3 linked regions of the Xenopus tropicalis genome follow. The protein of the gene in region 2 binds, or shares a complex with, the protein of the main gene of each other region. Links are inferred from orthologs where the notes say so. Each region holds a gene or a part of one and is shown on either strand. Other genes may lie near its edges. The genes, in order: rictor, rptor and zfyve28.

Region 1 (10,071 bases), on a different chromosome or scaffold from region 2:
GCAGCAGTTTACCCTAGTAACCACTGCAATCCATTTTAACCAATGAATTTTTTAAAAAAAAATGAATTCCCTCTTCTCTTTAATAATAAAACAGTACCTTGTACTTGATCTCAACTAAGATATAATTACCCCTTATTGGGGGCAGAACAGCCCTATTGGGTTTATTTAATGGTTAAATGATTCCCTTTTCTCTGTAATAATAAATTAGTACCTGTACTTGATCCCAACTAAGATATAATTACCCCTTATTGGGGCAGAACAGCCCTATTGGGTTTATTTAATGGTTAAATGATTCCCTTTTCTCTGTAATAATAAAACAGTACCTGTACGTGATCCCAACTAAGATATAATTACCCCTTATTGGGGCAGAACAGCCCTATTGGGTTTATTTCATGTTTAAATGATTCCCTTTTCTCTGTAATAATAAAACAGTACCTGTACTTGATCCCAACTAAGATATAATTACACCTTATTGGGGGAAAAACAATCCTATTGGGGTTAATTAATGTTTAAATGATTTTTTAGCAGACTTAAGCTATGGAGATCCAAATTATGTTAGATCCTTTATCCAGAAACTCCCAGATCCCAGAGCTGTATTGTGTTTTACTTGCTGTGATCCAAAGTTTTCACAAAGAGAAGGCATATTCAGAGAAGTGACAAAACTGTACCAACCCCCTAAAGGTGAGCTACCAGGTTTGTGCTGAAGCTGAAAGCACTCAGGTATGGGACCTGCTATTCAGAATGCTCGGGCCTGGGGTTTTCCAGATAAAGGATCTTTCCATAATTTAGATCTCCATACCTTAAGTCTACTTAATAATCATTTCAACATGAAATAAACCAAATAGTTTTGCTCCCAATAAGGATTAATTATAACCTAATTTGGGATCAAGTACAGGTATTGTTTTATTATTACAGAGAAAAGGGAATCATTTAAACATGAAATAAACACAATAGGGCTGTTCTGCCCCCAATAAGGGGTAATTATATCTTAGTTGGGATCAAGTACAGGTATTGTTTTATTATTACAGAGAAAAGGGAATCATTTAAACATGAAATAAACACAATAGGGCTGTTCTGCCCCCAATAAGGGGTAATTATATCTTAGTTGGGATCAAGTACAATGTACTGTTTTATTATTACAGAGAAAAGGAAAATAATTTTTGTGGGACACAGCTATCCCATAATTCAAAGCTTTTATGATAATGGGTTTTGCCAGATAATGGATCCAGTACCTGTAACATGTATTTATAAAGCACCAACATATTCCACAGTGCTGTACAACAGAGGGGTGTATACATAAACACACAAATGACAGCAAGTGACCAAACAGCGTAGAAACAGAGAAGTCCATGGTCACTGCAGGAACCGGCCAAAAAAAAAGGAAACTTTTACAGCGCTTTTCTCAAAAACAGAAGTGACAAAAAAACATGAATGTGAATTGTGAAAGTGCTCATGGGAACATTTTGTGCACAATCACTTTCATTTTTAAGGAGGCGTTTTAATAAAAAAGCACACAGCCAACCATAATCACATACAGCAGGCTTACAACTGCAGTAAGTTGTCTAATAAGTGATAACGTTACAAAGCGAGAGGGCTAACAGAGGGTAAATGAATCAGCAGTCAGAACCCCATGAGATCACGCAGAGCACTGTCACAGCACAAAGATAAAAAAATGAGTCATGTTTGGTCTCAAAAACAAATACTTTTTTCTTTTGCTACAAAAGTCATGCCTTTATGTAACCAATGAGCAGCTTAAGACAGACATGTGGGATTTTTTTCAGTTCAAACCCACCGTGGAGGTCCAACCTTTGGTCAGTAACTACAGAAAACACTGCTGTATCACTCATTCAGCCATAGTTCCAGGAATATATAGGACAGCAAATGAGTTTGCATCTCACTAACTGACCTTCAAGCTGGGCTTTCAGGAGTGTCAAGAAGAACAAAGCAGCATTCTCCCCAAACTAACCTATATGTGGGGCCACAGGATCCAGCCCCCCCAGGGGCCACAGCCGCACAGTTTTGAAACCATGGGCTGAAGGCAAAACACCCAAACGACACATCACCTGTAAAACTGGGCATACCAGGGATGCACCAAATCCACTATTTTTGGTTTCGGCCGAACCCCGTATCCTTTGTAAAAGATTTGGCCAATTACGAAACTGAATCCATATTTGCATATGTAAATAAGGGCATGGAAGGGTTACATTTTTTACTTGTGTGTTTCGGTCACGTAAATTTTAAGGGTTCGGTAAAATCCCGAATTCGGTGCATCCCTGGGCCATTCACATACTATCATAAGAAAGGTATGTACAATATTTTGTACCTGCATGCTGAAATATTGGATCTGCCAATGCACAATAACTGCCAGGGCACGATGCATCGGCTAATGAGGAAGCGAAGGGGAGCAACATTTTCTTTTCACTTCCGCCTGTTCTGATCAGTTAATAGGCTCTGCCCAAACAATCTGTCAGCAATACTATATACATCAGTGCTGTCCAACTGGCGGCCCACGGGAATCAGCAGAAAGGATGATGGGGGGCTACTGGGGATATATTTGTAGGACCTGCTAAAGGGCTGTGGTTGCCTTGGGTTGGTAGAGAAGACCAAAACATAATGTACAACACTGTCTGGCCCTGACTAATGGCTCTCCAGGCTGTTTCTCCACGTGTGTATAAAAAGCAGATCTGCTCCCAACTTCACTGTGGTACAAGGGTACAGAAACAGGTGTTTTTCCTGTTAAACTCAATGATAAAGCATCATGGGCCACTTTCCTACCAGTGGAAATACCACCAGGTGCCTTATACCAGTAGCCACACCTACACATTTATTTTTACTTGACTTTTATCCACTATATATGAAGCACTGTGGAGGTATGGGATCAGTTATCCAGAAAGCTCCAAATTATGGGAAAGCCATCTCCCACAGACTCCATTCTAATCAAATAATTCAACATTTTAAAAAATATTTCCTTTTCTTATGTGAAAATAAAACAGTACCTTGTACTTAACCCCAGCTCAGATATAGTCAATCCTTATTACAGGCAAATCAATCATTTTTTTTTTTACTTGGTGGGAAACAAGTGACTAAGTAAGTCCTCATTATGGACCCAAATTATTTATTTTAACCTCTTTCAACCACAAACATGTTTTGAAAGCTATTATCACCCTACTGGAAAGGATGTGGGGTAATGCATGAATCTAATTCTTTAGCCCAGAAACACAAAACAACCTCTTTTCAAGAATAAAAAACACAGCGCAGTAATCGCACACAGACAGACACAAACATCACCCATTAAAACATATTTAGAAGAACTGAAAGGGTCTGCCGAGTTAGAGAAAGAAAAATGCTTTATACATTGCCCTATGGTAAATCTCCCAATAAGTATGTAAGGAGATTGGAGGTTTATTCCGCAAGGTAATGCTGACCTCTCTGGCAGCGAGAGAGCTACAATACTGCAACTTGCTGCTGGCTCATAGCGAAACCCTCAATACTGTATGATCAAAATTAAATGGTTACAGGCAGCTGCAGGTTTTTGGCTAAAAAAAAACAAATAAAAAGACAACAAACAAAGCTTTTTCTCTGGATAACACAACTAAGGAATCACATTTACTCTGCATAAGACATGGAAGGAAATATTACAGCGGACACGAGGAACTGCACAGTAAGATTTATGTAACAGCCTAAATAACCAAATAAACGTCCTGTTCCCATAGCCTGCTTATGCCTAGAGCCACTGCTGAACACAGTGACCTCTCGCTGCTCTACGCTAGGCCAGATTAGACTGCCGGCACACATACACAAACATCAATATGTCACAGCTCCCTGCCTGAGCCTGGGAGTGCAGCGCAAGCATACAGTTGGGAGAGCAGTTGTTTTGAAAGCAACGTGAATAGGTTCTCTCTAATGCTAAAGCTGAGGTGGGACTATCAAGCCTAAAGTTCTGCATCAGTATAAGCCCGTGGCGTAAGTGCAGCGACCACAGTTTTAGCTCATAGACATCTGAAGACATCTGAAGACAATTTCACAAGAGTTGTCAATAGCATGTGTACACCTGACTGGGTCCCAGCTCCCACCCCAGCAGCCACAGGGAGGACACCCCACCACTACAGTGAGCTATATATTCCCCACTGACAGTGTCTTGCAGGGAGTGGTCAGTCAACAACTGCTGGAAGGCAGCAAACAGGACATTCCTACTACACTGACTCATCTATTGCATTATGCTTTTTTTTTTATTAAAATGTTAAATATGTAAATGGCAGGGCATATGGCCCTATATGTTAGGTGCATTCCTGTTTGTCAGGGGGATCTGGCTACAGTTTGGTAGGAGGGCTGCTGGTTGGACACCAGTATTTTCTCTCTACTGTCACAGATGCTAAGACATGTATAGATGGGCCCCGAGCAATGCAGGCAGGTTGTGGCCCCCATCATACATAATAATGACAACATGCAACCCTCAGCTGTTTATAAACTACAACTCCCAGCATTCCCACAACAGTGCTGGGGTTTTACAAACAACAGACGGTGTTTATATAAAGCCTATCAAACAAAGAATTAGGCTAGAAATGCAGCCCCTTACACCTGGAGTTCATGTACCCCCCCTTACACCTGGAGTTCATGTACCCCCCCTTACACCTGGAGTTCATGTACCCCCCCTTACACCTGGAGTTCATGTACCCCCCCTTACACCTGGAGTTCATGTACCCCCCCAGCCCTTTGACAGTGAACCTCAGATACCACCACTAACTCCTCATATCCTTTTCTACTGCTTTACAGCATGGATCAATACCATTACCTGGCTGCAGTACAGTAAGTTTAATACACAAAATACAATTCATAGCCATCATTTTTAAGCTTTAGTTCTCCTTTAAATGTTATAAGAGACACTGTTCTCTACCTGTCCCCCCTAATGATGCCCAGGGCAATGCCCACTCTGCCCTGCCCTACAACTAGCCCTGGGTTTTCTGCAGGCCAGCCAACACACAGCCACTTTGTCTCATTGGGCCCCATACAAATGCAATCGCTTGGGGCCCATTAGTCAGAGTATACAGTACTGAGTACTAGTGTTCAAGGTCCCAATAATGACGTGGCTCCCCAAAGCCGCACCCCCGTCCCCCCATTTATGGGTGCCCTGCTGTTATCAGTATAGTTCCACTCTCTCCATCACCAGGGTATCCGGCTACCCCCTTTCCCAGAGCCCTGGGCAGCGCTACCAACCATTCCTTCCCTGCGTCCCCCACCTAGCCCAAGGCCAGAGCCCACACGGCCCCCATAAACAACAATGCCGGCAGTTGTATTACCTCTTAGCCTGAGGTGCCGGAGGGAGCGGGCGCGGATGCTGACCGCCATGATGCGCGGCTGGGAGACATTCACAACACCGGAAACCTCGGCCTTTCTCGCGAGATTACAGCACAGCAGGCGGGGTGAGTGGCTGCAGACTAGGGAAAGCCATTCCAATGAGGGGCGTGGGGTGGCGAGTTACTTTGTGTGTGGGCGAGCGTGCGATGAGCTCTGGGACACGGATGACGTTCTATTACTCGGAATTGCCACAGAAATACGTGGTGATATTAAGTTAATGGAGCTGAAAAATGGACGCTGCTATTCTGTTTGCTTCATGGGCACAAATAGGAGAGCGGCGGCCATCTTTGTTTCTGGCAGTCCGTTCACCTTACTATTCACCTCTTTACTTCATGGTTGTTGGCTAATCCCTGGTCATCGGTTAGATAATGATCCAGCCCTGGAATTTCTGAGCTCTTCTTAAAGGGGTAGTTCACCTACAATTGTTTTGTAGTATGTTGTAGAAAGATAGACCTCATGTTTGTATAGTCTGAAGTGTTTTTCATGGATTTATTATTTTCCTGTTCCTTCACATGGCAGGGGGTACAGGTTTCCATTGGTGCCCACTGCCATATTACAGTCCAGGAATCTTGGCAAGTATGATGTGATTTTCATTTTTCCTCTTCCTTCACATGGCAATGGGCACCAATGGAAACCTCTGCCACATGTTACAGTCCAGGGAATTAAAATCTTGGTAAGTTGATCCCAATGTTATTAATAGGGAAAATAGATAAATATATAGGAAGGCTGGTCATTTTTCCCACAAAAGGTGGCAACCCTAACTACCTTCCACTGATGTAAGCCTGAGGGGAGGGTTGTGGGACATCCAGCAGACCCTGAAATGTTTTTGAATAGAAAACGAATGAGAGAGTGCCGATATATATATATATATATATATATATATATATATATATATATATATATATAAAATTTATTGAAAACTCATTGTTTAAAAACAATGAGTTTTCAATAAAAAAAATTTTTTGAATTTTAAGGGTGTGCCGGCCATGGATTATTTCATGCTAAATACTCAGATTTTGGCTGTGCACCCCACAGAATACTAAAAGCCTTGGAGTGCAGACACCATCAGGACTGATATATATATATATATATATATATATATATACAGTGGCTTGCAAAAGTATTCGGCCCCCTTGAACTTTTCCACATTTTGTCACATTACAGCCACAAACATGAATCAATTTTATTGGAATTCCACGTGAAAGACCAATACAAAGTGGTGTACACGTGAGAAGTGGAACGAAAATCATACATGATTCCAAACATTTTTTACAAATAAATAACTGCAAAGTGGGGTGTGCGTAATTATTCAGCCCCCTTTGGTCTGAGTGCAGTCAGTTGCCCATAGACATTGCCTGATGAGTGCTAATGACTAAATAGAGTGCACCTGTGTGTAATCTAATGTCAGTACAAATACAGCTGCTCTGTGACGGCCTCAGAGGTTGTCTAAGAGAATATTGGGAGCAACAACACCATGAAGTCCAAAGAACACACCAGACAGGTCAGGGATAAAGTTATTGAGAAATTTAAAGCAGGCTTAGGCTACAAAAAGATTTCCAAAGCCTCGAACATCCCACGGAGCACTGTTCAAGCGATCATTCAGAAATGGAAGGAGTATGGCACAACTGTAAACCTACCAAGACAAGGTCGTCCAGCTAAACTCACAGGCCGAACAAGGAGAGCGCTGATCAGAAATGCAGCCAAGAGGCCCATGGTGACTCTGGACGAGCTGCAGAGATCTACAGCTCAGGTGGGGGAATCTGTCCATAGGACAACTATTAGTCGTGCACTGCACAAAGTTGGCCTTTATGGAAGAGTGGCAAGAAGAAAGCCATTGTTAACAGAAAACCATAAGAAGTCCCGTTTGCAGTTTGCCACAAGCCATGTGGGGGACACAGCAAACATGTGGAAGAAGGTGCTCTGGTCAGATGAGACCAAAATGGAACTTTTTGGCCAAAATGCAAAACGCTATGTGTGGCGGAAAACTAACACTGCACATCACTCTGAACACACCATCCCCACTGTCAAATATGGTGGTGGCAGCATCATGCTCTGGGGGTGCTTCTCTTCAGCAGGGACAGGGAAGCTGGTCAGAGTTGATGGGAAGATGGATGGAGCCAAATACAGGGCAATCTTGGAAGAAAACCTCTTGGAATCTACAAAAGACTTGAGACTGGGGCGGAGGTTCACCTTCCAGCAGGACAACAACCCTAAACATAAAGCCAGGGCAACAATGGAATGGTTTAAACCAAAACATATCCGTGTGTTAGAATGGCCCAGTCAAAGTCCAGATCTAAATCCAATGGAGAATCTGTGGCAAGATCTGAAAACTGCTGTTCGCAAACACTGTCCATCTAATCTGACTGAGCTGGAGCTGTTTTGCAAAGAAGAATGGGCAAGGATTTCAGTCTGTAGATGTGCAAAGCTGGTAGAGACATACCCTAAAAGCCTGGCAGCTGGAATTGCAGCAAAAGGTGGTTCTACAAAGTATTGACTCAGGGGGCTGAATAATTACGCACACCCCACTTTGCAGTTATTTATTTGTAAAAAATGTTTCGAATCATGTATGATTTTCGTTCCACTTCTCACGTGTACAACACTTTGTATTGGTCTTTCACGTGGAATTCCAATAAAATTGATTCATGTTTGTGGCTGTAATGTGACAAAATGTGGAAAAGTTCAAGGGGGCCAAATACTTTTGCAAGCCACTGTATACGTACACAAAGGATGGCACACCGCTACATAACATACCTCAATTGCTCGGTAAAGGGTTCCAATAGTCCAAAAAGACCAGCAACACCGGGATTTCTTGTGAAAAGTGAAAAACATATATTTTAAGTAACATGAACATCGGGACCTTTCTCAAGGCATGTGGAGAAAGGTCCCGATGTTCATGTTACTTTAAATATATGTTTTTCACTTTTCACAAGAAATCCCGGTGTTGCTGGTCTCTTTTACTATTTATATATATATATATATATATTTAGTCTCACTGAGAAGGAACTTTTTGGTTGAGCCCTGGAACAATCAGATGCTATTTCAAATTGCATTCTGGAAAGGGATAGTAAAAGAACTGAAAAAATAAAACAGTTAAACGCTGCTTAAAATGCTCAATATACAACATACTAGAAACAGGGCTGTATTTACCATATAGGCACTCAAATGCTAGTGTCTAGGGCAGGGATCCCAACCTTTTTAACCCATGAGCAACACTCAAATGTAGAAAGAGTTGGAGAGCAACACAAGCATGAAAAATGTTCATGAGGGTGCCAAATAAGGGCTAAGATTGGCTATTTGGTAGCTCCTATGTGGACTGGCAGCCTTAATGAGGCTCTGTTTGGCTTTACAACTGTTTTTTATACAACCTAAACATTCTTCCAAGCCAGAAATTAAAAAAATAAGCACCTGCTTTGAGGCCACTGGGAGCAACATCCAAGGGGTTGGGGAGCAACATGTTGCTCACAAACCACTGGTCATATAGTAGGCAACCCTCAAGTGACTATATGGTTAGAAAAAAAAAAGTCCCAAAGGAGTTGCTGGGTACATGCCAGTTGAATCCTGCAACACATGTAAGGGGGGGAAACATGGAGCCTCTGTGATGGTTGCATGTGTGTGTGCACACATGCGCTGATCGACACCTGAGGAGTAGATTGAGGATCAGTGACTTCCACAATACAGCCCTGAATCCCTATTGTGTGCATACCTTTAAATTAACTTTTGCAATTGGTTGTCATTTTTTTATTATTTACGGTTATTTAGCGTTTTGTTCAGTAGCTCTCCAGTTTGGAATTTCAGCAGCAAGCTAGTTGTTAGGGTACAATTTAACCTAGCAGCCAGGCAGTGGTTTGAAAGAGAGACATGAATAAAAATAGAGGAGGGCTTAAATAGAAAGACCCCCATTTGAAAGCTTGAAATGATCAGAAGAGGAAGGCAAACAACTCAGAAACTATAACAAGTAAAAAAATGAAGACCAAATGAAAACTTGTTAAGAATAGACCATTCTATAACTCTATAACATACTAAAAGTTAACTGGAAGGTGAACTTCCCTTTTAAACGGGTGTTCATCTTTATATCTGTAAATAAAGGTTTAGTAGGGTGTAGAATATATAGACCTAATCTAATTGACTTTTCCCATTACAGTAGTCTTCATTCTGCATGAATTTGTCTTTCTATTATTAACCTTCAGATTCTGCCTAAGTGCTGCCTGGATGTCACCGAGTTCTACAAGCAAACAAAAAACACATGGACTGTGAGGCTTCATTAATTGGTATTCTTAGTTTTTATTGATTATATTTAATTTCAGGTCCTCTCCTATTCATCTTTAATTCCAACAGGTATGGTGTTGGTCTCTATGGAGCTACACAGACCAGATATCAGCATGATAACATAAAAGTATCCATTTTCACTCCAGTATCCACCATGTAGTTCCACAGAGCCGACACTGACTGTCAATAGAGTTATAGGAGGATCCACTTGTCTCTGCCTGGGTAAAAAATGCAAGCAGAGAAAATTGTATGATTCGCTTTGTGTGCCCCTGGCATAAGGTTTGTAAGAACTGGCAAAAGGCATAATGAGGACTGTGAATTGGCTTAGAATAATGCTTATAGGTCAGACTAAAAGGTAATTTTAAGATGAACTACCCCCTACTACTGCCTGAGTGCCAGCATCTGCCATAGGCAGAGTTTCCTATTCCTTTGAATGGAAAGCAGCCGCAG
Region 2 (9,971 bases):
TGACTGGCAGATCTCTGCAGTGTGTTCTCTGGGGAATGTCACTTATTCTTTTAGCACCTTATTAATTGATGTCGGTATTAGCCAATTGCTAAAATGTGCATCACCATTGCAATACCTGTGGCAGTTCAGCATAACTGTCCAACACATTTACTAATTTAATTACAGTGTGTTACGTTGCTCCACTTAGCTACACGTCTTCTGTTAACAGGGAGAGGGAGCAGCTGCACCAGAGCTTGTTTAACATTAAAATGAACACCCCTCTGGCCAACAATTTTATTTTAGGTCAATCCACTGCTTGCCCTCAGTAAATGTTAACCCTAAAGGGAAAGGAAACACTCTGATCCCTCTCACCAAATGGACCTGAAAAGCAGAGTTGTACAGAGTTAGGCCATATTAAGGTGGCCATACATGTTAAGATCTGTTTGTTTGGTGAGAGGCACTGTTTTGCCTACCCACGGGGCTAAGAGGTAAGCTAAGTATTTTGCAACGCTGTAAGTCACTGATGCTGCTGACAATAGGCCTGAGTGTGGCTCCTTCCTTGTGTATCTTGGGGAGACCACATAAGCATGTGGTGGTTTCTCTGGGGTACAGGTGATAGTATAAAGCTCAATTGATGGCTTCCACCTTCTTAGGTTGTTGTCAGTAGTTTATCACCTTTTTCTTCTAACTGCTAATTGGGTCTTTCCTTAAAGGTTCACATGTATTGCTATCGCCGAGTAGCGTCGTCATTTTGCAGTGATAGTCAGTTGTGTTGAGCACAACCGTGCATTGCCCTTTATCTTCTGGTAGCATAGTCATTACTAAGAGATGTGAGAGCTCTCCTCTCTTGTATAGTAAGGTTTGAGGGAGGTGTTCTGACACTTGACAAGGCAGCTGACACTTTAAATTAGAGTTGTTCTGCTTTCTCCATTGGTATTGATGGCAGATTCTGTGGCTGTAATGAGCTCAACCACTGGGATGTGTTGTGAAGACACTGCATAGTTTCAGAACTCTCACAAGTAACACCTGTCTCTATGAGTTGCATGAAACCTTGGTAATCCTATCACAGTAACCCCACAGCATTCCCAACGTCTGTGAGTTTCAAGTGTCACCTCTCTGAAGAGTTACAATGTGCCATTGTGATTAGTGGAAGAGTATATATACTGAGAACTTCCTGTACCAGTCAGTTGAACTGAAGAAGCTGCTCGGATGAGTAGTGAAAGATCTTCAATGATTACTTAGCAAGTCCAGTTGCTCTAGATTTACTTATACTAGATATACCATGCCCTGGTTAAATAAAAACCTTCAGTACAATAAGCAGATCTCCTCCCAATATTCCCACTAAGTTGGGTGATATTGTGCTAATTCGATCATTTGTTTACCGGTCTGATGGGAAAACCAAACCTGCCCAGTCGCCACCTGGCCAATTTTCAGCCACGTATCAATCGGGGGGCCCATCGAGGGCCCCTACACAGGCTGAAATGTGGTTGTTGCTCACTGAGTGGCTAGTTTGCTCTACATCAGTTACGAATCAAATTGCAATATAACCACTTGGAGTTGGTAATAAAGTTGATCACAAGAACCATTCTATTTTTTCTATCTAACAGTTTCTGGGACTGGGAGAAAGGAGAGAAGCTGGATTACTTTCACAATGGTAACCCTCGTTATACTCGTATAACAGCAGTCGAATATCTGAATGGCCAAGATTGCTCTTTGCTGCTTACTGCTACAGGTTAGACATCACTTTAAACTTGGAACTCTCTCGAGAGCAGTGTTTTTCTTTCCAACTTTTTTCTTCTTCACTGTCCAGTTGTAAATATGCTGGCCCAATAACTTCACCTCTGTGCCTGCAGATGATGGAGCCATCCGCGTGTGGAAGAACTTTGCTGACTTAGAGAAAAATCCAGAGATGGTGACAGCTTGGCAGGGACTGTCCGATATGCTGCCGACCACACGAGGTCAGTTACATAGACTTCCATAGGAAGTAGGATGCGCTCACAGAAGTCATATACACGTTTACTTGTGCATCCCCTACTTTTACCTTGCTAAGTTCTTACTTTCCTCAGAGCTTCAAACCCCACATTTAGCAGAATCTTTCATAGGTCTTAAAATCATACACTTTGTATTCTTTTGGTGTCTTGATCTTACAATAATCTTTTGTTTAATGAAATCTTAGCAGACATGTACATTTGTGTAGCTTGATAATCTGCACCGTGCATGAGCAACCTGTGGTCCTTTGGGGGTCTTTATTGTAAAAAAGTATCTCTAACAATTGAAGTCATTTATTGAGGTGTCTGGGAGCTGTAGCCCTACAACAGCTAAAGGGTTTCTAATTATGGGGATTTCCATTGTCCATCCATTCTGAAATCTTTTGTTAGTAGAACATATTTGATGGCCTTTTCCCCCCCTCTGTTACATGAAAATTCTATCCAAATTGATATTGTGTAACTGTATGTTTAACACTTCAGCAAAATGAACTAACTTTCTGGTGTAAATCTTTCTAAAAATGGAAATAAAAGCAGCCTGTGATTAGGTGTCATCATTTTATAAGTGGTTTCCTTATCTGCTAAAACATTGGCTGCTGCAATGTGTGTCATACCCTGTCCCCCCAGACACAACATAGCCATCTGGGTGTAACTTGCATTCCTAACTTTTGCCTTTCTTTGCTTCTGCCTGCTGCCTCCCTCCTTCCTGGTTTCTATCCCTGTCCCCTTCCCTATACCCTTTCAAACCCACAGGCCTGGCTCGAAGAGTTTCCATTTATCTTGACAGGAGTAAACAGGGGGGTAAGTTCTTCCTTCATTAGAAATCATCTGTATTTGACTATGGCATGTTTGTGCATACACAAGTGAATGTACACAGGAAAACATTTCTGTATTGTGCTTGTGTGATATGTGCAAAATAAAAATCTGACCAAACCTTGAAGAGTTGGTTCTGCCTATATATTATAGACTAATATTTGAGTCTGAATGCAACTGATTATTCTTTGTCTTGCTAACGAACCAGCTCCAGAAGCCATTTATGCATGCAAGGTTCAAGAGCAGCGGTAACATAATGTAAGACTAATACGTTGGCATCTTTCTATCTTAGGGGCTGGCATGGTGGTGGATTGGGAGCAAGAAACAGGTCTACTCATCACATCTGGAGACGTGCGAATTATCCGGCTATGGGACACAGACAGAGAGACAAAAGTGCAGGTAAAACGTTAATAAGATTTCATGGCTACCATAGATTACAGATCAACTGTATCAATCCCACAACCATACAAACACATTCAAGTGAGATCACCACCCAAAAAATGTAATTAAAGGGAAATGCAAGTCTTGAGTAATTTTCCAATATACATTCATTACTTTTTATTAAATAGTTAAATAATTATTTGTAGTTGCAATTAAAAGCAACATTCAGGTATCCCTTTCTGTTCTCTGGCTCTGACATTGTAGCAAAAGTGGCCTTTTAATAAGCTGGCTTCTGCTACATTGTTCTAGAAGTTGGAAACAATAGTACTGAGAAATTGTAAATGGCCAGACAGTTCTCTAAAGCAATTACTTTAAAGCAAATGCAGATTTTAAATAAATATATATCAGAAAATTGTTTAGAATTACAGTGTCTTTCATAAAGTAAAAACAGTCTTATTAAACAATCTTAAAGTTCTATTAAAGAAGCACAAAGGCCTGCCATATGCAATCAGGGAACAGTTATTCTAACCTCTTTTCAAATGTCTTGGGATTGCAATGTGAAGATTTCCAGCATTTTGTCTCTATGGCCTCTATATACTCAGTATATTGATGTCGTTATTCTTTAAGGATATACCCACTGGAGCAGACAGTTGTGTGACCAGCCTGTCATGTGACTCTCATCGTTCCCTTATTGTGGCTGGACTCGGAGATGGTTCAGTGCGAGTGTTTGATCGCAGGATGGCACTGAATGAATGGTAAGATTTTGCTTCTTTCATTTATGGTAACAGGCTAGCTCCTTGTCTGCCCATGTGTGGCTGCCTTCTGTATTGCATCAAACATAACAGTCATTTGGATAATGAAGAGGGAAAAGTCCTGGCTAGAAAGACATGTAGTAAAAGGTAACACAGAGTACTAGTTTGTAGCTGCAAACTGATCTGCAAAAGAAGAAAACACATATCACCCTAAGAAATAATTCCTAATCCTATGTTGTCATTCTATTTAAGCAAAATAAACTTTACTTATACTGTATACATTATTTAAATCTTGTTTCCTTCATTTATTTGTAAGTCCACAATTATGGCCTACAGGCAGGCTTTTATGTTTTGTTTTATGGAGTCTGTTACCAAAACAGGCTTTGCGTTATCCCAATTTATGCTCCACAAATGAGGACTCGATGCACACATCCGTGCACAGGCTACTCAGTTACGTATACTGAGAAGGGCAGGGGGCATGTGAGAAGGTTTGTGACATCTATGCAGAAATAAAATTGAAAGTGTCCTTAAAGATTGATTCAGGCTATTAATGAGCATTATGTGACACTTGAGTTGTATTTCATGTTTTTTCTTACAGCCGTGTAATGACGTACCGAGAGCACTCAGCCTGGGTAGTAAAGACTTCTCTCCAAAAGCAGTCCGATGGGAATATTGTGAGCGTCAGGTACTTAGTTCTGCTAACAATAACTTGCTCTAATTGTGTTCTGTACTGTTTCGTTTGCCTTATGCAACATAGTATTGCTGAGCTAATCCTAAAGGAATCCTCAGACTTTGTATTTCCTAAAAATATGTTGTGCATGTCACCCAGTTGCACAGAGATGTCACATCCAGTCTTTCATTTTCACAGTGTAAATGGAGATATCCGTTACTTCGACCCTCGTATGCCAGAATGTTTAAACTCACTGCAGATTGTGAAGGGTCTTACTGCGTTGGATATCCACCCACAGGCTAACCTGTTTGCATGGTAATGTGTAGTGGCACGTACTTATTCTATAAATGCAGCGAGTGCTGGTTTCAGTTAGGTAAGGCTTGTCCAACTGAAGGCCCTCGGACCAGTTATGTTTCCCAAGCACATGTATCAGCCACTACCTGTCTATATACTTCATTTTAATCCTAATATAAACCAACCAATGAGCATGTTGGCATACTACCTGTAAAAAGACAGCAAATCAGGGAATACAGGCAAATTCCAAATCTGCTTTGGGTTTTTTTGTCTTTGTCTAGATGCTTGAACAAAACATGTTTGCTTGCAGTCGTGGAGATTTTGATTGTACTGGGTAATCTAAGCTAATTCGAACCAAGGGTGCAGTTTTACAGCATTTGATGAGCAGCCTTAGCTATAAAATCTGTCTTTGATCTGTCTTTATTAGATCATAATATTGCGTTCCAGGAGATCACAGACATTGTAAAATATAGTCCCATATAACAAGGTTATATCTGCTGTATCAGGGTATATTCTCTTTTTCTAAACTAAACTTGATTTAATCATAGAATAATTTTGTGCTACGATTTCTGTATGTTTTGAGGAGTATAGAAATACTGATTTATAATATAAAACTATATATGTTACTGCTTCACTGGAAATTAACCTGTTCACTTTCTCCTTGGAAATCTCCACTTTGTTTTAGTGGTTCAATGAACCAGTTCATCGCTATTTACAATGGAAATGGAGAGCTGATCAGCAACATAAAGTACTACGATGGATTTATGGGACAAAGAATAGGAGCCATTAGCTGCCTGGCCTTTCATCCTTACTGGGTTTGTGTCTCTATAATAAGGATTTTTATGGGTTCTGGTGCTTGAAAGGCGAGGAAAAAGGTTAAGACACCTGTGCAACAAAAGGCACAAGTGAACTTAATTGTTCTTATTCTGTGTAAGAGGTACTTGTACCTACAGTATACAGTGGGATGCTACTGGAAATGCCATATTAGACACCATTAATTTCTCATGTTCTCTCTCTCTCTGCAGCCCCACCTGGCCGTTGGCAGTAATGACTATTATATGTCTATTTACTCAGTGGAGAAGCGAGCGAGATAGCTGTTTGAAGGAGGTTTCCTCTAGGTCTTCGTCTCTTGCTGTGTATATAAGCGAACCATGGCCTCGAGTGATTTCATTGCTGCTTCTCAAAAAATGAAGAAAACTACTTTGAATGGACTAAGCTAATGAACCAATGAAATGACAATACAAGGCTTTTTTACTGCCTGTCTGCTGCCTCATTTCAATGCAAAATTACAATTTATCTCTGAGGTGGTGAGGGCATTAAAACATTTGCTATGCTCTTGAATTTGGAATGAAACACATTAGGCTTTAGCTGTGATTCCATAGTTTAAATCCCTTCCTTTCATGCTGCATGGACAGCTGATCCGCTGTCTCCTGTTTTGAAGACATCTCATGTTTTGACAAGACTCTTTAGAATGGTTATCTCCTACTTGGAAAAGACTGGGCCCTGCTTCAACCTATGAGGCCAAATAATTCCGTCCTCAACAGGTGCAACCAATTGCGTTTCTTTATGCAGACCTCCTGTAATAGTAAACCAATCAAACAAAAGATAGGAGTTAAATCTCTGGTGTTTAATGTTTGGCTATTTTGCAGATCATTTTCATGTTGGCCATCCTCTACGTTGACTAGGACGTTACTTGCAGCACTTATTTGCTCTTCACCCCATGTAGCTACAGAAATAGGTGAACATTTTTTTAACGGGCAAATTATTTATTTTATCCTAAAGAGAAGTATTTCAGTAACATTTACTATAAAGGGAGAAATCGTGCAATTCTTATTTTTTAAATATGCTATTGGAATTTCCATTTCTCCTGGTAAAAATTCCACAGTCACATAAAGCCCAGAGATCTGCAGAGTGTGCTTTGGTGTTTCCAAAAGTGGAATAAATTCTTTCTCATTCAATATTGTTAGCAATAAGACACATTTTATTCAAATTCTGGTTACTTTATAGAACGTCAGTACGTTGTGGGGCATTTCTATATCTATGATTGACAGTAAAATGTTGAATAATTTTGTCATCCATTGCTAGAAACCTTATAAATGAACGATCTATGCGCCAATGCAGGATAGATGTAAGAAAGTCTCATAACCTGTGTGGTGGAAATGGCATGTAATAGAGCCGGCGCTTAACCCTTGTCAGCACAGTCATTCTTTTTACTGCTCAGTTCATTCACAGAATTCTTGTTTATAAGATATATATATATAAATATATATATATATATGTATGTGTGTGTGCATGTCAGTGCTATGTACTGACACAAATACAATGGAAAGCATATACCCCATTTAGGCAACAGGGACCAGGTGCCATGTATAACTAAACTCTCTGTTGCAGGTTGGGGTATTGATGTTTACACTATTTTAACTCAGAATATGTGGTTTTAAAAGAAGGGAAAGGAGGGTTTTCCGAATTTCTGCTTTTAGCATCTTCCCATAGAGAGTTTAATGGCAGCGTTTTTTCCTGCTATATAAGATGTTGAACAGAAGGATGTACAATTCTCTAGTACTTAGGGAGGGGGTGCCCATAGGAAAACCCTTAAATGGCAGTCTTCTATCACTGAACTAAACAAATTGCTGACCAATTCTGTTAACACCACAAGCAGAGGAGAGGTTGTGGCATCCTCTGTGTGCATACAGGAATCTGGAGTGCTTTATTAAATATGAATAAACCCGAAGCTGTCTCTTAGTCATTATTGGAGTAAATACAACAAGGAGAAATGTGTGTGTGATTCCTTCTCATTTGTTTCAATTTGTAGCATTTCTTTCCTATTTTAGTACCGTAATTACAGTGGCCTGAGATGTTCTTGCTGCAACTGTAGCTGGGCACTTCCATGTGTGCATAAACTAATTGCTTTCCTCACATAAAGTGGCTAAACAAACTGTATTGAGATATAAATGTTAAGCAGGTTCTGTATTTACAGAGGAATTTAGGAATCATGTGATATATGTACAGGAACAAAATACACAAAAGACTGTATTCAGAATTTAATTTCTGTATAAAAAGAATAAGAATTAATGATATTTTTGTTTTGCTTAGGTATGGAAATGTATTCTGCTAGTAATGTCATTGGCTTTGGTAGCAATGAATTTTGAGGGCTCAGATATGTGAACCGAGCTTGAAGATTCAGTCGTGCCGAACTCTGACGCTGGAAGATGAGAGACTGCTGCTGAGTAGGAAGGTTAATATTTGTGAAGTTAGGATTATTAATATATTTATTTTTAAAGTACGATGGAATACATTAAACGAATAGAAAGGATAAGAGGGTCCTGCATGCTGTGTAGTGGCATTGGCTCCTTTGAAGAGTTGGGCCTTGATGAGTTTCTGAAGGTGGGTTCTGTATGTAGGCTGCGCGTGGTGGCAAGTAGTTATTCAGCTACAGCCACAGAGCTAATGTCCTGGGGGTTTTGCAGTTTCCTGAAGATTCATTTCCAAATTTCCCCTTAGACCTCAGTTGAGAATTAATAAGATTTTTCTCATCAACTGATTTTAATTTATGTAATGTTGCAACATCTAGAAAAATTAGGTGGGATATGTATAAAGTGCCAAATTTGGAAAGTGAAAAGGAATGGCTTTACTGTACGGAGGTGTTGGAGGGAAATCTACATCTACATAATGAATATTCTAACCCTGGTCTATTTATTGAAAGAATGTATCTTTCTTCCCTTAGATAGAGTAGTATGAGGGCACATTCACAAAACAAGTGTGGTGTCTCAGAACAAACTTGGATTGGTTGTTGTGGGTAATGTAGGCAATAAAAGAATGAAGGCGTTTGACCAGAATTGTGACTGGTTAATTATTATCCATATTAGAAATATATAGTCTTTACTTTGCTTTGACAACAAAGCTGTATAGGTTGGAAGTGCACCCAAAATAAGACGTTCTCTATTGAAAAGTCTACTAACAGTTGGGGCTAAAATATCATTTTTGGGTTTTTTTGTTTGCTTTGTTTCATTTGATAGTAGAGACCTGTCAACCCATTGGACCAGGATTCATAGCTGATTTCAAACTGACTGTTTTTTAGGTCAGAAAGTAGAGAAGGAAAGGCTAAATTACTGGGGGGGTGCCAGATGTTAGGCACCCACAGTGATGGTAATTGCTTACCCCTGGGCGGTGCTCCTGCTAGGAGAAAACTGCACCACCCCGGGGTATATGCAAGCGAGCGTTCCTCTTCCTTCTGTCTTCTTTCTTCAGAATCCTGGGGCCGACGCATGCACAGCTAAAAGAAAAAGACAGAGGTGCGAAGAATGAAGAAGGAGCGCTCGCCCACATACACTCCAGCCGGTGTACTTTTCTCCTAACAGGAGCACCGGCCGGGGGTTTCAGGTAAACAATTAAAACCATTGGGGGATGCCTAACATCTGGCACCCCCTCAGTGATGTAGCCTTTCCTTCTCTTTTAAGTCTCCACTAAAAGATTTTCAGTTTGAAGTCAAGAGAGTGAACATATTAGACACTTAATCATCGTCACAGCACGGAATGCGTGAGGCTTTTTATGGACATATAATTATTCTGCAGTAAAGATACATTGATTTTAACAGATTAAGTAGAAGCAGAAGAATAAGCTGAAGTGGAAGAACAGTATGTTGGGTTTTCAGACCAACATAATTACATGAAAGCAGTCATATCTTGTGATATAAATCATGTTAATCATGATTATTTGTGAACGGAAAAAAAAAGTCTTGTAATTATTCCAGTTTCTCCAGGTCTCTGCTACAGAGTGATTGTAATAATGTCGTTAAGGCTAATGTCAGACCAGGTGTATGGCGTATATTTTCGGAAAGCTGAAAAACGCTTGCTGATAATAGCGCCCTACGCCCCCTACCTGTGCCTACACCTGAATGAATAGAATACGCTCGGGTGCAGGCACATGTAGCCGAAATACGCATAAAAACACAAGACTTTGCATTCTCTCACGTTTTTATTATGCAGATATCGGCTACATGTGCCTGCACCCGAGCGTATTCCATTCATTCAGGTGTAGGCACAGGTAGGAGGCGTATGGCGCTATTTTCGGCTATCGTTTTTCAGCTTTCCGAAAATA
Region 3 (9,971 bases), on a different chromosome or scaffold from region 2:
TATACTGATTCATTATCCTAGTTTGAACACCGATGGAGACTGACCAAAGGGTTCAGAGACTTGTCTCATACTCAGGGCTCTCCTTGGCACTTGTTCCCACTTACTCTTCATGGAGGCTATTCCAGGGGATAACCACAAGGTGCTGCCATGCACAGATCTTACTGATGCATCTAATGATTCTGCACTGGGAGACACAATGAGAACATGTCACTGGGTGTGCCAGATGCATCATTAACGTTTGCTTCATTTTCAAATTGAAAACAAATATACGGCCAGCTCTTAATAATTAAATTCCTACATTTTATAATTAAGGTATAATTGGTGGTGTGCAAGTGTGGCCTCTACTGACCTGCACATCATGTATCCAGAAGGGTCTTGTTTGTGTTCCCCGAGATAATAAATTCCTTAATCCTCCTTTCCCTCCTACTTGTCTCCGTTCCTCAGTGTTTGGCTGCCGGCTCCATCATAATGAATCGTGAAATAGAGAGTATGGCTATGAGACCTCTAGCCAAAGACTTAACCAGAAGCCTTGAAGAAGTGAGGAATCTAATCCGTGACCAGGCCCTGCGGGATCTCAACATTTACACGGAGAAAATGAAAGAATCCCTCCGACATTTCGATGTTCTGTTTGCGGAGTTTGAATTAAGGTGAACTTGCTCAAATGAAACTTTTTCTTTGTGTTCAGTTTTGCTACTGAAATCCCTTGGATGGTGTTTCTTTTTGTTAGTGGAATTAGTTTCGAAGTTGCCGAACAAACAAAAACAAAAAAAATCACAGAATTTAATTTTGTAATTTATCTCTTCATTTCTCATTTCATTGTAACTTAAAAACAAAACTGTAACTCTTTGAAGGAGAAGGAAAGGCATTTTGGCATTTTACTGCCTATAGATTTGCCACATTAGTGCCACCTAGAACGCTATATTTATTCTGCAGAAAGCTTTATCATACCTGAGAAATGAACCCTAGAATCTCCCTCTGTTTGTTTAAGATTGCAGCCGCCATTTTAGCTTGGTCTCTGTGTAATCTGAGCACAGAGAGTTGGGAAAGGGAGCAAATTCTGATGGGAGGGGGAGCAGTAGAAGGGAGGGGGAGAGCAGACTCATGCCTGTACCCTAAAGGATTTTTCTGAGAGCAGGAAGTCTGACACAGAAGGACATGTGTACACAAAAGGAGACAAGAAATCCTGTGTTTCTTTTGATAGAGTGCAGCATTTCTGTGAGTGCTTATGGCTGTATTTACATAGACCTTTCTGCTAAAGTTTACTTAGTTGTTACCTTTCCTTCTCCTTTAAGTGTTCCGGTAACATGGTTCCATAACCTGTATAACAGAACTCTGCCTCCGATGTTGTACATGTTCCTAATTAGTAAAATGCTTAACAACCTTTTTTTCCCACTACAGCTACGTCTCTGCCATGGTACCTGTAAAGTCCCCAAAAGAATATTACGTACAGCAGGAAGTTATTGTTCTTTTCTGTGAAACTGTAGAAAGGTAGGTCACCCAGTGTGCCACAATGATACTATTCTGTCAAAAGGTTATTTCTGCAGTGTCTCAATGTACCCTCTCTGCAAGGCATTGTGTATGGGGGACAAACCACCACTTTTCCCTAAGAAACATTCTGCTTGGTCCAATCTCTTAGTTTTAATTTCCTGCAACTTGTTGGGGTGCTACTTTATCTCCTGAGCAATTGTATTTATGGTGTGCCAGACTCTTCAGGTTATACACAAGTAGCACCCCAACAAGCTGCAGGCCATTAAAAGTAAGAAATTGGACCAATCAGAACGTATCTAACATGCACTTTATCATTAAACTACATTCTACGAAGACTGCTGCCAGTTGAATGATTACCAGCTGAACATTAGCAATGCATTAATGTTTTACTAAGTCATGCTAATAACTAGCAAATGCAATATAAACAGGGAGAATTTCACCGGCACATTTTAGAGATGTAGAGCAAATTGTGTGGGCTAAGTCTGCCCAAAGTCCAAGGAGAATGGGATATAAAGGCCTGGAATTCCTGTAGCAGCTGTAGATATTCTTTCATGTAGAAGAGGGTTAATATTATGAGGTGGTCAGTAAAGTGGCACGCTACTAGGACAAAGGTGAGAAGACGGTGTTAATGAACTGAATGTAGAAGGCTTATAGCCTTACAAGACATGGGAAGAGGTAATATGCTGGGAGGCTGTGTAGCTGTAAGGCTAGGGATTTGGTCCCCCAAAAACATGGAGAAACATGTGGCACTAGTAGGCAAAGAGATAACCAATGTTTTGATCCTGTTTGGATCATTGATTATTATCCTATATTGGTGATGTAGAATATCCATTACTCCCCTTTGAAGTGTGCTCCTGTTGTCCAACATAATTTTTAAAAATACCGGCAGATAGACAGCCATAGAAGATAGACAGTTAGGTAGGCAGAGAAGTGGTCAGCATTTGGGTAGGGTGCCAGATAGGTACTGTAGTCAGACAGACAGGGGGCCTGACTCTATCAAATAATGCCTCTGGTAGCCATTTTTAGGTAGTCAGGCAGACAGACAGGTGGCCTGGCTTTATCAAATAATGACTCTGGTAGCCATGGTTAGGTAGCCAGGCAGACAAGAGGCCTGGCTTTATCAAATAATGCCCCTGGTAGCCATGGTTAGGTAGGTTGGCAGACAGGGTGCTTGGCTCTATCAAATAATGCCCCTGGTAGCCATGGTTAGGTAGGCAGGCAGACAAGACGACTGGCTCTATCAAATAACGTCTCTGGTAGCCTTGGTTGGGTAGGCAGGCAGACAGGGGGTCTGGCTCTATCAAATAACGTCTCTGGTAGCCATGGTTGGGTAGGCAGGCAGACAGGGGGTCTGGCTCTATCAAATAACGTCTCTGGTAGCCATGGTTGGGTAGGCAGGCAGACAGGGGGTCTGGCTCTATCAAATAACGTCTCTGGTAGCCATGGTTGGGTAGGCAGGCAGACAGGGGGCCTGGCTCTATCAAATAATGCCCCTGGTAGCCATGGTTAGGTAGGCAGGCAGACAGGGGCCCTGGCTCTATCAAATAACGCCCCTGGTAGCCATGGTTAGGTAGGCAGGCAGACAGGGGCCCTGGCTCTATCAAATAATGCCCCTGGTAGCCATGGTTGGGTAGGCAGACAGACAGGGGGCCTGACTCTATCAAAAAATGCCCCTGGTAGCCATGGTTAGGTAGGCAGGCAGACAATGAGTTAGGTAGCCAGGCAGGTGGTGGGATTAGATGTGCAGACAATTGTACCTTATGCAGAGGGCAGGCAGAATGTGGCACAGAGACACTGGGGGGGGGGGGGGGGGGGGGGGCAGCATTAACAGTGAGGAAAGTTTCCATTGTAACCTCATATTACATTAACCTAAACTGTCCAGCATTACAAGGGATTATCATTAGCTGCTGAGACCTCTTCTTGGGCCTACAGATTACACAGTCTAGTTCAGAAAGGTCAATTCATTTAATACATGTAATTGAATTATTTCTGGCAGAGAAGAGTATTTCGCTCCTCGCAGTCCCTGTATTATTTATTGTAGAGCACAGATCTAATCTTGTTATAGACGAGTATAAAGAGCTTAGCCGTGCCAGCTTATTGTTCCCATCCTCCATAGAATACCCTTCCCCTGCCCGTGCCAAGTGATTCTTAGCTCTCAAGGCGGGTTTCATTTTTGACGGCATATGTATGTATAGGATAGCGGCAATTTGCCCAGCTCAAAGCCAATTAGGTGAAAATGGCAGAACTGGTTGAAAATCACCAGTGGTTTTTATTTACTTACTTATTTATTTATTTATATAGTTATTTATTTTGCTTCTCGCCAGTTCCCATTGGGTTGCAGTTTGGGGAACATCTCCCCTCAGCCTAAAGGTGTTGAAGCCTGGGTCCATCTGATTAGTATGTGTGGCAAATGCTGGGATATCGTGCTGTTTGGCCATTTACACCCATGAGTAAATAGCATTGTTCTGTTGGTTTCGCCAACATCTGAACAAACTGACCCTCTGGAAGTAAGGGGGGCCTGAGGCTCCTCTCCATTCCTTATTTACCAATGCACCAAGTCTTGCCAAGAAGGGTCATCAACATATGAAATTTTGAGACAGACAACTGTGATCATGGCGGGATTGCAAACTTGTCTTGCCGCTTACGTGCACAGATGATTGGACGATATGGTCAGGAGTGCCCAGTGGCTATAACTCATGGCTCTGCTGAAACGTGGACAGATCTTTGACTTGCAGAATTTGATTGTGTCGTGTAGAATTATCAGTGTCTATTATATGATATATTATAACCTTATATTTTCTTTTGTTGTATGTGCTTGGAACAGAGCCTTAAAGCTTGGATACCTCACACAAGATATGATCGATGATTATGAACCAGCATTAATGTTTACAATCCCAAGACTTGCCATTGTGTGGTAAGTATGGCCATTACTGCAGTACAGTGAGGGATGAATAGGGTTGCACTGGGGTAACCAGCACTGCAATTACCTGGAAAGGTGTATGTCTGCACTGTATTTGCTCCAGAAACCCTACTATAGTTTATATAAATACCCGGCTGTGTAGCCCCGGGGGCAGCCATTCCTGCACTGGTACAGCTGGGGTGTTTGCTACAGAAACCCTACTATAGTTTATATAAATACCCTGCTGTGTAGCCCCGGGGGCAGCCATTCCTGCACTGGTACAGCTGGGGTGTTTGCTACAGAAACCCTACTATAGTTTATATAAATACCCTGCTGTGTAGCCCCGGGGGCAGCCATTCCTGCACTGGTACAGCTGGGGTGTTTGCTACAGAAACCCTACTATAGTTTATATAAATACCCTGCTGTGTAGCCCCGGGGGCAGCCATTCCTGCACTGGTACAGCTGGGGTGTTTGCTACAGAAACCCTACTATAGTTTATATAAATACCCCGCTGTGTAGCCCCGGGGGCAGCCATTCCTGCACTGGTACAGCTGGGGTGTTTGCTACAGAAACCCTACTATAGTTTATATAAATACCCCGCTGTGTAGCCCCGGGGGCAGCCATTCCTGCACTGGTTCAGCTGGGGTGTTTGCTACAGAAACCCTACTATAGTTTATATAAATACCCCGCTGTGTAGCCCCGGGGGCAGCCGTTCCTGCACCGGTACAGCTGGGGTGTTTGCTACAGAAACCCTACTATAGTTTATATAAATACCCCGCTGTGTAGCCCCGGGGGCAGCCGTTCCTGCACCGGTACAGCTGGGGTGTTTGCTACAGAAACCCTACTATAGTTTATATAAATACCCCGCTGTGTAGCCCCGGGGGCAGCCGTTCCTGCACTGGTACAGCTGGGGTGTTTGCTACAGAAACCCTACTATAGTTTATATAAATACCCCGCTGTGTAGCCCCGGGGGCAGCCATTCCTGCACTGGTACAGCTGGGGTGTTTGCTACAGAAACCCTACTATAGTTTATATAAATACCCCGCTGTGTAGCCCCGGGGGCAGCCATTCCTGCACTGGTACAGCTGGGGTGTTTGCTACAGAAACCCTACTATAGTTTATATAAATACCCCGCTGTGTAGCCCCGGGGGCAGCCATTCCTGCACTGGTACAGCTGGGGTGTTTGCTACAGAAACCCTACTATAGTTTATATAAATACCCCGCTGTGTAGCCCCGGGGGCAGCCATTCCTGCACTGGTACAGCTGGGGTGTTTGCTACAGAAACCCTACTATAGTTTATATAAATACCCCGCTGTGTAGCCCCGGGGGCAGCCATTCCTGCACTGGTACAGCTGGGGTGTTTGCTACAGAAACCCTACTATAGTTTATGTAAATACCCTGCTGTGTAGCCCCGGGGGCAGCCATTTAAACTGAGATCGGAATAAATGCCACAGGTTACATAGCAGATAACATTAGCTCTGTAAAACACCATTGTACCCTACAGAGCTTATCTGGTATCTTCTATGTAACCTGTGCCTTTTTTTCCTTTGCCCCCAGGGCTACACAAGAGGGTATTTCTATAAACTATAGTAGGGTTTCTGAAGCAAACACACAACTTTTACAAGTACAGGGCAACATTACGTTATATTTTAATAACTTTGATACACTTTTTTGGTGTTACTGTTCCTTTAAGACAATTTTCATGGTCTTTAAAAAGGAAAATTTTGGGCTTGTGACTCTGCATTAGTGCATGAAAGTATTTTTTGGTGTTCTTTTGCCCTTTAGCAAGTTTGATCTGTGAGCAGCTGTGTAATTGAATGGGGAGCAGCCTCCGCTGGGGCATTGTCTGCATGCTGACAGCCTACCCAGTGTGCCCTTGCCCTAAAGTCACTAAGCCGATTCTGTGATCTGTAATCAGTCCAATGCCCTTTGTTATCCATACAGTGGTCTTGTCGTTTACGCTGAAGGACCGCTCAACCTCGAACGCAAACCTGAAGACATGTCTGAACTGTTTCGGCCTTTCCACACCCTGCTAAGGAAAATAAGGTAAATGTTTGGTTGATAGGAGATGGAAGATACAAACGGAATGCATGACCTGAAGTCCTTTGGTAGTGGGAGAACGTATCTCTCTGCCGCGCTGTATAACTGTGCCAGCGCTAATTACACAAAGGATAACTAATAGTAAATACAAATACATTTTTCCTCAGCCTGCCCACAATTCCCTGTACTCGTGATATCAATAAGGAAAGGAATATCGCAGTGCAATGCATTGTGGGTTTTGTAGGTGAATGCTGTCTGTACTCTGTGGAGAAGTGTTTTAGGGACTAAACTGTTTTAGTCCCTCCTCCCCTGCAAGGATATTTTTGCAGCTGAATTTTATCATATAAAAATGGTATTTATTCATACTTTTAAAAGGAACAGATTACAGATATTTAAACAGTAATTAACCCTAATAGGCTTGTTTTGCTTCTAATAAGGATTAATTACACCTTAGTTGGGATCAAGTACAGGTACTGTTTTATTATTACAGAGAAAAGGGAACCATTTAACCATTAATTAAACCCAATAGGGCTGTTCTGCCCCCAATAAGGGGTAATTATATCTTAGTTGGGATCAAGTACAGGTACTGTTTTATTATTACAGAGAAAAGGGAATCATTTAACCATTAAATAAACCCAATAGGACTGTTCTACCCCCAATAAGGGGTAATTATATCTTAGTTGGGATCAAGTACAGGTAATGATTTATTATTACAGAGAAAAGGGAATCATTTAACCAGTAAATAAACCCAATAGGGCTGTTCTGCCCCAATAAGGGGTAATTATATCTTAGTTGGGATCAAGTACAGGTACTGTTTTATTATTACAGAGAAAAGGGAATCATTTAACCATTAAATAAACCCAATAGGGCTGTTCTGCCCCAATAAGGGGTAATTATATCTTAGTTGGGATCAAGTACAGGTACTGTTTTATTATTACAGAGAAAAGGGAATCATTTAACCATTAAATAAACCCAATAGGGCTGTTCTGCCCCAATAAGGGGTAATTATATCTTAGTTGGGATCAAGTACAGGTACTGTTTTATTATTACAGAGAAAAGGGAATCATTTAACCATGAAATAAACCCAATAGGGCTGTTCTGCCCACAATAAGGGGTAATTATATCTTAGTTGGGATCAAGTACAGGTACTGTTTTATTATTACAGAGAAAAGGGAATCATTTAACCATGAAATAAACCCAATAGGGCTGTTCTGCCCACAATAAGGGGTAATTATATCTTAGTTGGGATCAAGTACAGGTACTGTTTTATTATTACAGAGAAAAGGGAATCATTTAACCATGAAATAAACCCAATAGGGCTGTTCTGCCCCCAATAAGGGGTAATTATATCTTAGTTGGGATCAAGTACAGGTACTGTTTTATTATTACAGAGAAAAGGGAATCATTTAACCATTAAATAAACCCAATAGGGCTGTTCTGCCCCCAATAAGGGGTAATTATATCTTAGTTGGGATCAAGTACAGGTACTGTTTTATTATTACAGAGAAAAGGGAATCATTTAACCATTAAATAAACCCAATAGGGCTGTTCTGCCCCCAATAAGGGGTAATTATATCTTAGTTGGGATCAAGTACAGGTACTGTTTTATTATTACAGAGAAAAGGGAATCATTTAACCATTAAATAAACCCAATAGGGCTGTTCTGCCCCCAATAAGGGGTAATTATATCTTAGTTGGGATCAAGTACAGGTACTGTTTTATTATTACAGAGAAAAAGGAAATCATTTTTAAAAATGTGAATTATTTGATTACAATGGAGTTTATGGGAGCTGGCCTTTCCGTAATTCAGAACATTCTGGATAAGGGGTCCGATACCTGTATTAGGGTTTTTTTGTGTTGAGAATGTTTAGCCCCATTGAAAATAATAAGTATCATATGAATTTGATGCATTCAATTTTTTAAAATTCAATCAAGTCTTTTATATTCAAATGTTTTAATAAATCAATAAATTTTGGTCAATTTTCGAGTTTATTGGAACTGAAAAAAAAACCTCTAATATTCGCAAATTCTAAAATTGATAAATAAGCCAAAGTATCAAGGTAGATATGCAGCTGTATTTGCACATATGCTTCCCCCCCCTTGTCTCGCACATCAGCAATTAATTATTTCCATGATACAGGTATGGGATCCCTTATCCGGAAACCCCTTATCCAGAAAGTTCTGAATTACTGAGAGGCCATCTCCCATTGACTCCATTACAAGGAAATAATTTAGATTTTTGAAAATGATTTCCTTTTTCTCTGTAATAATAAAACAGTACACAGTACAGATTCCCTTTTCTCTGTAATAATAAAACAGTACCTGTACTTGATCCCAACTAAGATATAATTACCCCTTATTGGGGGCAGAACAATCCTATTGGGTTTATTTAATGGTTAAATGATTCCCTTTTCTCTGTAATAATAAAACAATACCTGTACTTGATCCCAACTAAGATATAATTACCCCTTATTGGGGGCAGAACAGCCCTATTGGGTTTATTTCATGGTTAAATGATTCCCTTTTCTCTGTAATAATAAAACAGTACCTGTACTTGATCCCAACTAAGATATAATTACCCCTTATTGGGGGCAGAACAGCCCTATTGGGTTTATTTAATGGTTAAATGATTCCCTTTTCTCTGTAATAATAAAACAGTACCTGTACTTAATCCCAACTAAGATATAATTAATCCTTACTGGAGGCAAACAAGCATATTGGGTTAATTCAATATTTAAAAGATTTTTAGCAGACTTAAGTTATAGAGATCTAAATTACGGAAAGACCCCTTATCCGGAAAACCCCAGGTCCCGAGCATTCTGTATAACAGGTCCCATACCTGTAATAGGAGAAGGAATCTGCAGGAATAGGTTGAGTAAAGCCAAGGGGAGGTTATTGGATGGGCCAGGCAGGTATGAGCCTTACACAGTATATTAACCTGCCTATATCCCGGCCTATCTATAGTCTCAGCCTCATTCGCTGGAAGTGCTGCTCCGGCCCCGCCGTGTCGCTCTATTCCTGCTCACAGATCGTTTTCCAGCTCACGTTAGAGACTGTTTTCCAGCATTCAATTACAGCCAAGGAGAAAAGTGTTTGTGAGAATAATCTTCCTGTCATAAAAGAAGATACAGTTCAGGCCGCCACCAAATCTGCAGCAATCTGCGCTTTTGTAGGGGTTTTTTTTTTTTACTTTTTGTGCGCTGTAATTCTCCTGAAAAATAGGCTTGAGAGGGTATTGTTTAGGAACAGGGCGACAGTTTAATTACAGATATCCTTAGCTATGAGGAATGAAGCCTCTGTCAGGCAATGAAGCAAATGGAAATTCAGCCTAAGATTAAAGGGGAACAGCACACATTTTATTGTTATTTTAAGCTCTTAACATACATTAATTAATACAGGAATGGGAACTGGGATTTCCGGATAAGGGATCTTTCTGTAATTTCGATTTCCATACCTTGAGTCTGCTAAAAATCATTTAAATATTAAATAAACCCAGTACGATTGTTTTGCCTTCAATAAGGATTAATTATATCTTAATTGGGAT

The links.
Region 1: rptor (region 2) and rictor share a complex: the UniProt entries of both Homo sapiens proteins name them as parts of the mechanistic target of rapamycin complex. The link is inferred for Xenopus tropicalis from reciprocal best matches to the Homo sapiens genes RPTOR and RICTOR.
Region 3: the proteins of rptor (region 2) and zfyve28 are in contact, whole or in part, in a cryo-EM structure (PDB 9F43), measured with the Homo sapiens proteins. The link is inferred for Xenopus tropicalis from reciprocal best matches to the Homo sapiens genes RPTOR and ZFYVE28. Residues at the interface, in NP_065812.1 of Homo sapiens: Arg54, Arg305, Arg306, Thr317, Asp321, Phe337, Arg338, Leu341, Ala344, Arg348, Leu437, Gln438, Leu440, Leu441, Ser442, Gln443, Arg446, Pro474, Tyr475, Lys478, Leu479, Gln481, Ser482, Ser483, Ala484; in NP_066023.2 of Homo sapiens: Arg399, Val400, Phe401, Phe402, Met403, Asp404, Asp405, Val406, Glu407.

The regions. Positions count from the first base shown.
Region 1 is NC_030677.2:196,992,843-197,002,913, reverse strand, and holds the start of rictor (rapamycin-insensitive companion of mTOR), read right to left. Parts: upstream 5,581-10,071; 5' UTR 5,347-5,580; coding exon 5,298-5,346; intron 1-5,297. UniProt on the Homo sapiens protein: Component of the mechanistic target of rapamycin complex 2 (mTORC2), which transduces signals from growth factors to pathways involved in proliferation, cytoskeletal organization, lipogenesis and anabolic output.
Region 2 is NC_030686.2:26,902,207-26,912,177, reverse strand, and holds the end of rptor (regulatory-associated protein of mTOR), read left to right. Parts: intron 1-1,586; coding exon 1,587-1,711; intron 1,712-1,832; coding exon 1,833-1,937; intron 1,938-2,717; coding exon 2,718-2,765; intron 2,766-3,069; coding exon 3,070-3,176; intron 3,177-3,785; coding exon 3,786-3,913; intron 3,914-4,508; coding exon 4,509-4,595; intron 4,596-4,778; coding exon 4,779-4,895; intron 4,896-5,559; coding exon 5,560-5,689; intron 5,690-5,899; coding exon 5,900-5,968; 3' UTR 5,969-7,605; downstream 7,606-9,971. UniProt on the Homo sapiens protein: Component of the mechanistic target of rapamycin complex 1 (mTORC1), an evolutionarily conserved central nutrient sensor that stimulates anabolic reactions and macromolecule biosynthesis to promote cellular biomass generation and growth.
Region 3 is NC_030677.2:21,557,175-21,567,145, reverse strand, and holds part of zfyve28 (lateral signaling target protein 2 homolog), read left to right. Parts: intron 1-444; coding exon 445-647; intron 648-1,398; coding exon 1,399-1,488; intron 1,489-4,312; coding exon 4,313-4,402; intron 4,403-6,331; coding exon 6,332-6,433; intron 6,434-9,971. UniProt on the Homo sapiens protein: Negative regulator of epidermal growth factor receptor (EGFR) signaling. Acts by promoting EGFR degradation in endosomes when not monoubiquitinated.